Linked DNA regions of Nothobranchius furzeri. The protein of the gene in region 3 purifies or fractionates together with the protein of the main gene of each other region. This does not show direct contact. Links are inferred from orthologs where the notes say so. Each region holds a gene or a part of one and is shown on either strand. Other genes may lie near its edges. The genes, in order: dyrk1ab, sugt1 and lrch3.

Region 1 (2,549 bases), about 5.6 Mb from region 3:
TTTTTTTCCTAACATGGATTTATTAAAGACCTGTCTTATTTTAACATGCATGTTATAAATAAATATATTTTATTCATAATGAAAATTGCGCATTTTTGTAAAGGTGTAAAGGGTTTTTGTTGCTTTTTTGAAATAGTAAAAATGAGAAGTTTATATTAAATCTGTACAGTCTGAATGACACTTATTTTAACTGTAATGCAAAAAATGTTTAGCATGAAAATGAGAATATAACATACCATTTTTTTATAAACTTTTTCTTTCTTAATGTTATTTGTCAGTTTATATATTGGGGATTGAAGTGAAAGTACATTCCCTAACATTGTTCTTTTCTCTTAGGAGGAGAGACTTCAGCATGCAAACCTTCGTCCGTCCGGCTTGCGCCCTCTTTTTCTTTACACACTGCTGGTCTTCAGATGGCTGCTCCAATGCCCCATACGCACCAGCAGTACAGTGACCGCCACCAGCCAAGCACTGACCAATCTGTTACAGTCTTACCGTACAGCGACCAGACACCACAGCTCACTGCCAATCAGGTATACGAACCCCACCACATAGCTCCTCAAGGTTTTACAGTTTTGGGTCCAATATCAAAGCCTACTTCCCTTTTTCTACTGTCACTAGGCAGAGCAGCTACATGTCAAATGTCACTTTCAGTTTAATCACGTCTTGTTAACCATCATTACTTGCAATGATTCAAGAGGATGCTGTTTCTTATGAAATTGCCGTGTGTTTTTTTGTTCATGAATACTTTACCTGTGACACTCCAGAGGCACATGCCCCAGTGCTTTCGTGACCCAACTTCAGCTCCCCTGAGGAAGCTCTCCATCGACCTTATCAAAACATACAAACACATCAATGAGGTTTGTTTTTTTAGTTTGTTTTGATGCATTTAAATCTAAACTAATTATTTACTTTAGCAGCTGAAAGAGTTAACCAGCTATACTTTTAATCATATTGGATATGCTTACAATTAAAGTTACTGCAGCTTTTTTTTTAAATGTCTTTTAGATTTTTACTTTTGCTGAGACGAAACAAAATGCAACATGTTTTAATTTACTGCATTTTTATTGAATAAAACAAAGTCATGTTGGTGAGATCATGATAAAATAATCCATTAGAAGATTCAACTTAACAAAGATCATTGTGTGTTTCATTAGCTCGTCAAAGACTTGTGTGTGTGGTTATGGGATGTAATGTGTTAACTTACAGGTGTATTATGCAAAAAAGAAGCGACGGCACCAACAGGGTCAGGGTGAAGACTCCAGTCATAAAAAGGAGAGGAAAGTGTTCAATGATGGCTATGACGATGATAACTATGACTACATCGTCAAGAATGGGGAGAAATGGATGGACCGCTATGAAATTGATTCCTTGATAGGAAAAGGATCGTTTGGACAGGTGCTTCACTATCAGTTCCACTCAAACGTTTATTTGATTCATAAGAATACAATGTTCTTTCTAAAAGTATTAACCAGCATTTCTGTACATTTTCTTTTGTGATTATTGACCCTAAACGTTAATATCAAAACTAATCCGTAAAAACTTCATGCTGAGCAAACTGTAAACTGTTTGTCGTTGGCGTGTTTAGGTTGTGAAAGCGTATGACCGAGTCGAGCAGGAATGGGTTGCCATTAAGATCATCAAGAACAAGAAAGCTTTCCTCAATCAAGCCCAGATAGAAGTGCGCCTCTTGGAGTTGATGAACAAACATGATACCGAGATGAAATACTACATTGGTAATCCACTCTTGAAATTAGCATCTAATCTGATCAGAAAAATAAAAGGCCAGGGGGTTTGTTACTGACTAACATGGACATAATTTGCTTTTTCTGCAGTTCATTTAAAGCGACACTTCATGTTTCGGAACCACCTCTGCCTCGTGTTCGAGATGCTGTCGTATAACTTATACGACCTGCTCCGAAATACCAACTTCCGCGGAGTCTCGCTCAATCTCACCCGGAAGTTTGCCCAGCAGCTATGCACGGCGCTACTCTTCCTGGCCACGCCTGAGCTCAGCATCATCCACTGTGACCTGAAGCCCGAGAACATCCTCCTCTGTAACCCAAAGAGGAGTGCCATCAAAATAGTGGACTTTGGCAGTTCATGCCAACTGGGACAAAGGGTAATTAGCAGCAGTATTTCTCATCAGCTATGAGTCAGTTGGGTGCAATAAAGTCAATAAGTAACTGTTTGTGGGTTATTTATTTATTTTTTTTACGTTTTTTTATTTTTTTTAATTTGTCCCTTATGTGTGTTTTGTGTATAGATATACCAGTATATCCAGAGTCGCTTCTACCGTTCCCCAGAAGTGCTGCTGGGAATGCCCTATGACCTGGCCATCGATATGTGGTCCTTGGGTTGCATCTTGGTGGAGATGCACACTGGAGAGCCTCTCTTTAGTGGAGCCAATGAGGTATAACAATCTGAAACATTAGCTAGGTGGTCATATTTCAGTGAAGGATGACAAATGCTTTCATCTTGTGTCTGCATTTTAAATCTGATTGTGTAACCATTGGAGATAGAAAAGAAGACTTCATAACCTTAAAACA
Region 2 (3,659 bases), on a different chromosome or scaffold from region 3:
AGGCCTTGCCCCCCTGATATGGAAACCCAAATCGCCAGAGGAAACAAGATAGCGCTAAACACCAGTCTCCATTTTCTAAGTCCAAACATCTTTTGTTGCCCGTGACTTCAAATGGTGCTTTTCTTTTTGCGACTCTGGTAGTTTGTCCTAAAGTAGAAGTGGTAGCAGCCGGCTGGTTCTCCTTCTCTGATGTTAATGAGCAGAGAAGCTCTCACACCAGCGGTGTTCTGTTGCTAAATATGTGAGTGTGTAATGTGTGAGGACCCAGGGAAGTGCGATGGTTCAGTGAGACAGACAACCGGATCATCCAATCGTTGCTTTCAGACTGAGCCGTGTTATTGGTTGAAGTTTTTTGACAAATGCAAGAAAACCAATTCACTTAATTATTTTCTTTTTTTTTTATCGCCACAAAAAACAAGAACACTAACAATTTTGTCAGTTTGAACAATTTCTTAATATGTTTTTGCTTTAGTGCCACAGGGACAACTCAAACAGTCAACAACAATGCACATGATGTGTACCTATAATTTGTTACATTTAAAAAAATCTGAACTGTCATGTTTCATTACAATTTGCACCAATCTTACAAAATGTACAGGTTTTGTACCTTGAGCCACCAAATTCTGACTCCCACCATTAGACATGGTACTCCATTATGTTGGAAAAGTTACTGTTCATCACCAAACTGTTGTTGGATGGTTGGAGGAGTTCCTCAGGGATGGTGCGTAGGTACCATTTCTTATTCATGGATGTGTTCTGAGGCTAAACTGTGACCCGAGTCCAGAAACCCAATACATGTAGAGCAGCAGAAGCTCAGGAGGTTGTCCAGTAGGGATGTGAATCTTGGAGTAACTCACAGTTTGATTCAATTCCGATTCTTGGGGTGCCGATTCGATTCTCGATTCTCAATTTAAATCGATTCACAATCAGTATTAACAAAGAGTGTCAGCTCCAGGATGAACTACTTTGTTGTACAAGTTAGTTAAAGCTATGGGGCATTTTTAGTTGACTTTAAACTGGTCATGCTCCAAAAATGCAAATTTACGATGTAAACTAAAGTGATTCTAAAACTGTAAACAGAAACAATCTTTTGACCAAAAGGCAACATTTATTTTTGCTTCCCTTGTAAAATATAACAAATCTGTAGTTACCTAACAGTAGCTTTGAAAGTAATACGGTCAAATACTTTTCAAGTATGTGTAGAAACAAGTTACATGAGTAATCCTGAGTACTCATTTATCAACTTAGAAAATAAATATGAGAAAATCTCAAATTTCTGAGTATGGAAAAAATGACATTCAAGTGCCCTCTTATCAGCAGATTCAAACAAATCATCTCAATTTATGGGACCACAAACGTAAACGGAGTACTGACTCTCCTAACAAACATCAAAAAAGTGCTTCTCAGACCTGTAACATGCCAAATATTTGAGTTCTTGGAATCGAATCGGAACCTTTATAAATAAGAATCCCGATTCGGACTTGAATCGGTTTTTTTCAGCACCTCTATTGTCCAGTGATGGAAAGGTTGCAGGATCAATCCCAGCTCTCTGCAGGGAATTCTGCTTTTGTGTCCTTGAGCAATACACTTCACTCTCATTGCCTGCTGGTGGTGATCAGAGGGGATTACCTCTTACAGACTTTAAAGCCATAACTGTAATCTAGGGAACATCTCTGATAGCGACACATTACTGATCCAGTTGTGTGTTGTAGATAAATTTTAACTTCCCTAACTAAAACAGGAAAGCCACCTAAGCAGCATATTTATTCTTTTTGCAGTTTCTGACAAATCATTTGAAGTCTGGATCAAGCGGTGTGAGGAGATGATGGGGAGTAAGTAGCTCACTTCTTTCTTTCTGCATTAGTCTTCGAGTTGGCCCACATGCGATTTGAATCTGTTAGGTTTTATCTCCGATGATACACACATCTTTGGTGTTCGGGTGAATAAAACAAGATGGAAAACTTTCTGATTCATCAGTTGTTCGTAAACAAGAATGTGTTTGGCAGTTTTAGGTCGAACAAAGTTGAGAACTACTTCCACTAACTTAGTTGTATGTTTTCTTTAATTATTCAAGTTGAAGTTAAATGGCACAGTCAGGGAGCAGATCAGCCAGTCTGATCAAAACCAAGAGCACGCACACACACATCCGTGGATATTCAGAGCTGCTTAGTCCAATAAAAGATGCATGCCATGTCTTGGTGGCATGTGTTTGTGTTTGCCGGTGCTGCTTCGGTCCTCTGGATTATCAGCGAGTAAACAGGAACATGAGGTTTGACAAACACGCTTCGCACCCGCGTGCACACACACTCCCGAGAGCAGTGTGATTCATCAGCGTTAACGCTGCTGATGTTTGAAAACCCCAATGAGACAAACCCCCCTAAAAGCCTGTTCTCTCACTACACACACACACACACACACACACACACACACACACACACACACACACACACACACACACACACACACACACACACACACACACACACACACACACACACACACACACACACACACACACACACACACACACACACACACACACACACCCACGCACGCACGCACGCACACACACACACACCCCTACTTGCTCATGCACATGCCACGAGCAGTGTCTACTTCAGGCGACAGCGTGTTTACCACCAAGCAACACATATGCCACCTGGTTATTCCATCACGTGGCAGCTCATGCGTCTGACTTCACACGGAGACCAACAACTTCCTCCTCGTACCCCCAGCCCCCCATTTCAAACGCGACCTCATTAAGACAACATTAACACGCCTCCTATCACTTCATCTCTCTCTGAGCCCGCTCGATCAAATGAAGGCCGTGAATAATGGATGAAAGCACGCTGGTAAACGGCGCTCAGGCTTGCTTGGGCTCACTGGGCTTTTAGTGGGCGTGGATGGACCAGTAAACAAACTGGTGGCGAAGGCTTGGCTCTTTGCAGTGAATCTATTCTGATGATTGAGTTTTATCAGGCGGGTTAAATGGATTTAACTTTACCGCACCTGATATTTTTCTCCTCTGTTCCTCTCTCTGTCCCACAGAGCAGACACAAACCAGCAGCGCCGACATGGTGGGTTTCTTTGTGAGGCCACTTGGGGGCATTGTTGCTCTCAGTATCAGATTAGATCTGCACACGAAGCCTTATCAAGCTGCTTTTTAATGGTTCCTTCATTTGTTTTGTTTCACATGATTTTGCCTCTGTCATCCCCTCCCTGTGGCTCAATGACCCTGCAGACGCCAGCCGCTCCACCTGTTAAGTAAGTCCACAAAAACCCAACGGGTCTCCTCTAAAAGAGGTTGATGATGCATCGTAAATATCCAGTTTTGAAAATGTTTATTTTCGCGGATGCAAACCAGATTAATATTACAGATAAATCTGAATAAAATGATCTGTTTTATGTGGTATTGAGGCTTTTAAATCTCTTTCTTTCAGGCATGACTGGTATCAAACAGAGTCTCAAGTCATCGTCACGGTTATGGCAAAAAACGTTCCCAAGGAGGGAGTGCGTGTCAACTTTGCAGAAAAAGAGGTATGAAGCCACCCTGGAATGCAGCAGAGGTGGAGACAGCCTGTGTCTCACCACAGCGTGCGTGGAACAAAGATGGGCTAGCTCTGGGGTGTTTCCTCAGGGGGGCCCATTAGAAGGGCTTC
Region 3 (3,675 bases):
TGTTTAATATTTTAATTCTCTTTTATAATTAAATATTTATTTTTCTCAATATATAACAATATTTGATAAATATCACGATAAATAACATACAACTGTTTGTATTTTAACATCGTCCTTGTAGTTTTATGAGCTGATAATTAAACTGAAGCAAACATCTTTACTGTGAACTAAATTTACTGTGTATCTTCATTCCTTTTGCCGTCCTTTTTCATTTGATTTTTCCTACTGGGAAGTTAGAATTTCCGAGGAGAAAGCGAACGCACCATTAGCTGATAACAAAGGTGGCAATGGAAGCTAATTTATCAAGCTAACTTTATCTTAAACAGTTTATTTAGCTGCTGGAGCAGATTAAAACGATGATGCCTCACACTTAGATCGTTGTCACTGGTTTCATCTTCACCCAATTACCCGTCACATTTAGTGAAGTGGACCCAAGCGTTAGCGTGCGTTCTTTCTACCATGCTGCTCTGTTTACAACTCGCTCGCAGCGACTGACGACATAACGCTCTTGAGCATGCGCAGCTGTCTAGGCAAGTTCTCGTTATGAAGGACGGGTACCGAAACGAGGCGCCGTTTCAAATGACGTGAATCGGTGCTCAGTCGGTACTATGGAATTCGGTCGATACCTTAAAAAGTACTGAATTCAGTACCCAACGCTAATTGTTACCTTCTGTTTTCCTCCTTGCATTGTATTAGTAATGGCTTTAATTGTTTTGATGGGATGTAATTTCCTGTCATGTTTGTTAAATTAATTTATTTGAGTAAATCGGCTTTCAAAAATCTCAGATTATCAGAATATTACGAAAATGTTCAATATTCTAGACTCAAAGTGTAACACTCTGATCAGCTAATGGATCCTAAACGCCTGTAAAGGTTCTTGAGCCTTTAGATGGTCTCTCAGTCTGAGCCAGATTTCTGACATGAATGACATTTTTCAGCAGATTCTCATTCTTCCAGTTTTACTTGAAAATTGTGAATAATGTAAACCTTTATTTTCATTTAAGTGAATTGAAATGAAATGAAATCACAATTTCTGCCACAAACATCTCACTTGAAACTTTTCCTAAAACTGTTCAGCCCTATTCTGAAGTTTGGATTCAGTCTCCGATGGTGGAAAGTGATGAGATGACCTGCTGAAGCTCCTCCCACTGAACTAACCTGTTTTTCTTCTCTTTCATCATTTCATTTTTTTTTCTTCTTTTTTTTTTTTTTTTTTTTGCTCCGTCCATGTTTTATCCTTTATTGTGTCCATGTCCCTCCGACCTCAGGACCGTCTCTGCTCAGTGGGAGATGTATTGGGGGGGAAAGGAGGCGGGCTTTATGGGACTGTAGAGGTTTTGCTGTCCATGGCTCCGCCTCCTCTTAGCTCTTCTCTTCAGGTCCAGTTGGCTGGTTTTGCCCTCTTTTACCTGTCTGTCATGTCTGCGCTGTGTGCCATCTATGTCCACCTGGCGCCACAAGTCTGAGACGACCCACCAACCTCCTAATGGATGCTTCAGGTTAGCGGGCCTGACTCAGACTCCCCTGGTACCGAGTCTCCGCCTACATGGACGGATGATGTCCTTCAGTAAACTGGATCCTAAACAGCCATAAGTTCCTTGTCCTCCTGGGATTGGGGGGCACGCTTGACCCAGATGGGGTGGAGGGTTTTTTGACCGGTTCTTTGGGGTTCTGCAGTTTTGCTCAGTTAGACCCAAGCTGACCACACCCTTTTGGACTAGAACCGGGTCGTTTTGTTCTGCTGTACTTGATCGTGATGTTTCCTTACAGCAGCTGGTGCCATAAACAGAACCACATATCGCTGCTGACAAGAACTCTATGGGTACCGGGATCAGAACCTCTGTGGAGTTGGGTCTGACAGTTCTCTTTAGCCCAGGATGATGAACTGACCTCAGGTCAGACCCAAACGGACCGGTACTTTAGAGGATTCCATCTAAACCTTTACTGCTCCTAAAATAGTGAGAATCTGTCAGAATCCTGAGACTCTTTAGCGGCGCACACAAACAGAACCAGAGGTCCGTTAGGATAGCCTCAGCACGTCGGCCATGTTTGTTTCTGGAAGCACAAACTGCTGATTTTCTTATTTTTTCCAGCTGAACTTTTGAATACTTTTTTTTAATATTTTGATTTGATTTTTTGAAAGTGTGACGTGAGAATGTAGATTTAAGAACCGAAACCCAACAAGTCGGGCTGGATGACCAGAGGAGACGAGTGGCTTCATACCAGAACCGGTTCTAGGGGTTATGCTGGTAGGAGTTAATCTGGATTGGTGTTTGTTCACGTAGATCTGGGCTGGGACCGCACTTCTGGATCAGAATGTAACGGGCCGGTTCCCTCTGGGCCTGGCTCAAGTGCTGTATGTGATCTCTGGGCTCCGTCACCTAAAGTGTTACCTGCCTGCTGTGGCTCCGCCCACTTGTGCCTTATGTGTCATGTGTTTTTTACTGGTTATATGGGCCCAGAACCAGAACCTCCACAACCTTTTTCCTGTTTTCGCTTGTGGTCTTCCTGGCTGGTACCAGCAGGACCAGAACTCTGATCTGTGCCAATTAACTAGAGTCTGGTTCTGCTTGTTTAAATTGAGTTCTTGAATGTAATCAGGGTTCTGTTCAAGTTCTGGTCCAGCTATAGATCCAAGGATTGTAATCAGAGTACTGTGATCTTTGTATCGTTGGTACTGGCCCGTATTTGTTGGCTGATTTTTACCTAACTGGGTCCGACACTGGCCCGGGCAAGATGTGGACCTGACTGACTGGGTGACCCATTTTGTACCGACTCGATGTTCTGCTGCTCTTCTTGTTGTAAACATGCAGGATGTTTTCCAAACCAAAAACTGAAGAGAAACCTTTAAAAGTTCTGGTTCCTAACCAAGTCAAGTTGCTTTGGTGAAAATGGATGGATCTGAGGTTCTGGTGGGCCTGAACAGGATCTGGTTTCAGCTGTGAACTAGAAACCCTAGAATGGAGGAGGGAGGACTGAGTTCTGATGATTTTTCTGTGTCGGTTCGGTTCTGCTGGACCGTTTTCCTCTTTGAATAAACTCAGTGAAAACACCTGGACTCACTTTGTCTCTCTCCAGCATCTGGGACTCACCTGAGCAGGTTGTGTTCTGCTGCCCAGAGAGAACCTCCTGTGGGTTCTGGACTCTGCAGACCCAGAACACACTGAGTTCACAGACATCAGAGGCTGAGACTGGACTTCAGCTCAGCCACATGGTTTAGGTGTCTGATCACAATCGCAGTTCTCCAGAACCGGTCAGAACCAGACCTTTGGTATCATTCAAAGCATCCTTTTCCTACTGAAGCAGCTGGTTTTACTGGACCTCAATTCCCATCAGCCCCTCTGGCAGCTCCACTCATCTCTCCATTTTTTCTTTCCTTTCTTCCTTTGGTTGGTTTATCTTTCTGTTGCCATGGTTACAGTGGTGTTTTGTTCCTTTAAGTTGCCATCCTTTGACCCACCTTTCTGTTGTCCACCCCCCCACCCCCTCGCTCTGTGTCTTCTGTGGTGTCTGTTCATGCAGAGTAAGTTGTGTCTTCCTCTTCACATCCTGGAAGAGCGAGGGCTCCCCCAGGTGGCTGGAACCGTCAGCGCGCTGCTCGATCTGGCCCCGCCCAGACACTCCGTTGGCATGACGACTGCAGCAGCCGGTCCTTCTGTCACCATTTAGACTTCT

What was found.
Region 1: the proteins of lrch3 (region 3) and dyrk1ab purify together in Homo sapiens (affinity purification with mass spectrometry; 3 studies listed by BioGRID and IntAct, counting the BioPlex papers as one, with this or other methods). This does not show direct contact. The link is inferred for Nothobranchius furzeri from reciprocal best matches to the Homo sapiens genes LRCH3 and DYRK1A.
Region 2: the proteins of lrch3 (region 3) and sugt1 purify together in Homo sapiens (co-immunoprecipitation; 3 studies listed by BioGRID and IntAct, counting the BioPlex papers as one, with this or other methods). This does not show direct contact. The link is inferred for Nothobranchius furzeri from reciprocal best matches to the Homo sapiens genes LRCH3 and SUGT1.

Annotation. Positions count from the first base shown.
Region 1 is NC_091753.1:50,171,118-50,173,666, forward strand, and holds part of dyrk1ab (dual-specificity tyrosine-(Y)-phosphorylation regulated kinase 1A, b), read left to right. Parts: intron 1-336; coding exon 337-533; intron 534-767; coding exon 768-860; intron 861-1,209; coding exon 1,210-1,398; intron 1,399-1,588; coding exon 1,589-1,736; intron 1,737-1,835; coding exon 1,836-2,122; intron 2,123-2,266; coding exon 2,267-2,413; intron 2,414-2,549. UniProt on the Homo sapiens protein: Dual-specificity kinase which possesses both serine/threonine and tyrosine kinase activities. Exhibits a substrate preference for proline at position P+1 and arginine at position P-3.
Region 2 is NC_091751.1:64,340,128-64,343,786, reverse strand, and holds part of sugt1 (protein SGT1 homolog), read left to right. Parts: intron 1-1,778; coding exon 1,779-1,832; intron 1,833-3,048; coding exon 3,049-3,077; intron 3,078-3,241; coding exon 3,242-3,264; intron 3,265-3,440; coding exon 3,441-3,537; intron 3,538-3,659. UniProt on the Homo sapiens protein: May play a role in ubiquitination and subsequent proteasomal degradation of target proteins.
Region 3 is NC_091753.1:55,769,471-55,773,145, forward strand, and holds the end of lrch3 (DISP complex protein LRCH3), read left to right. Parts: intron 1-1,268; coding exon 1,269-1,466; 3' UTR 1,467-3,052; downstream 3,053-3,675. UniProt on the Homo sapiens protein: As part of the DISP complex, may regulate the association of septins with actin and thereby regulate the actin cytoskeleton.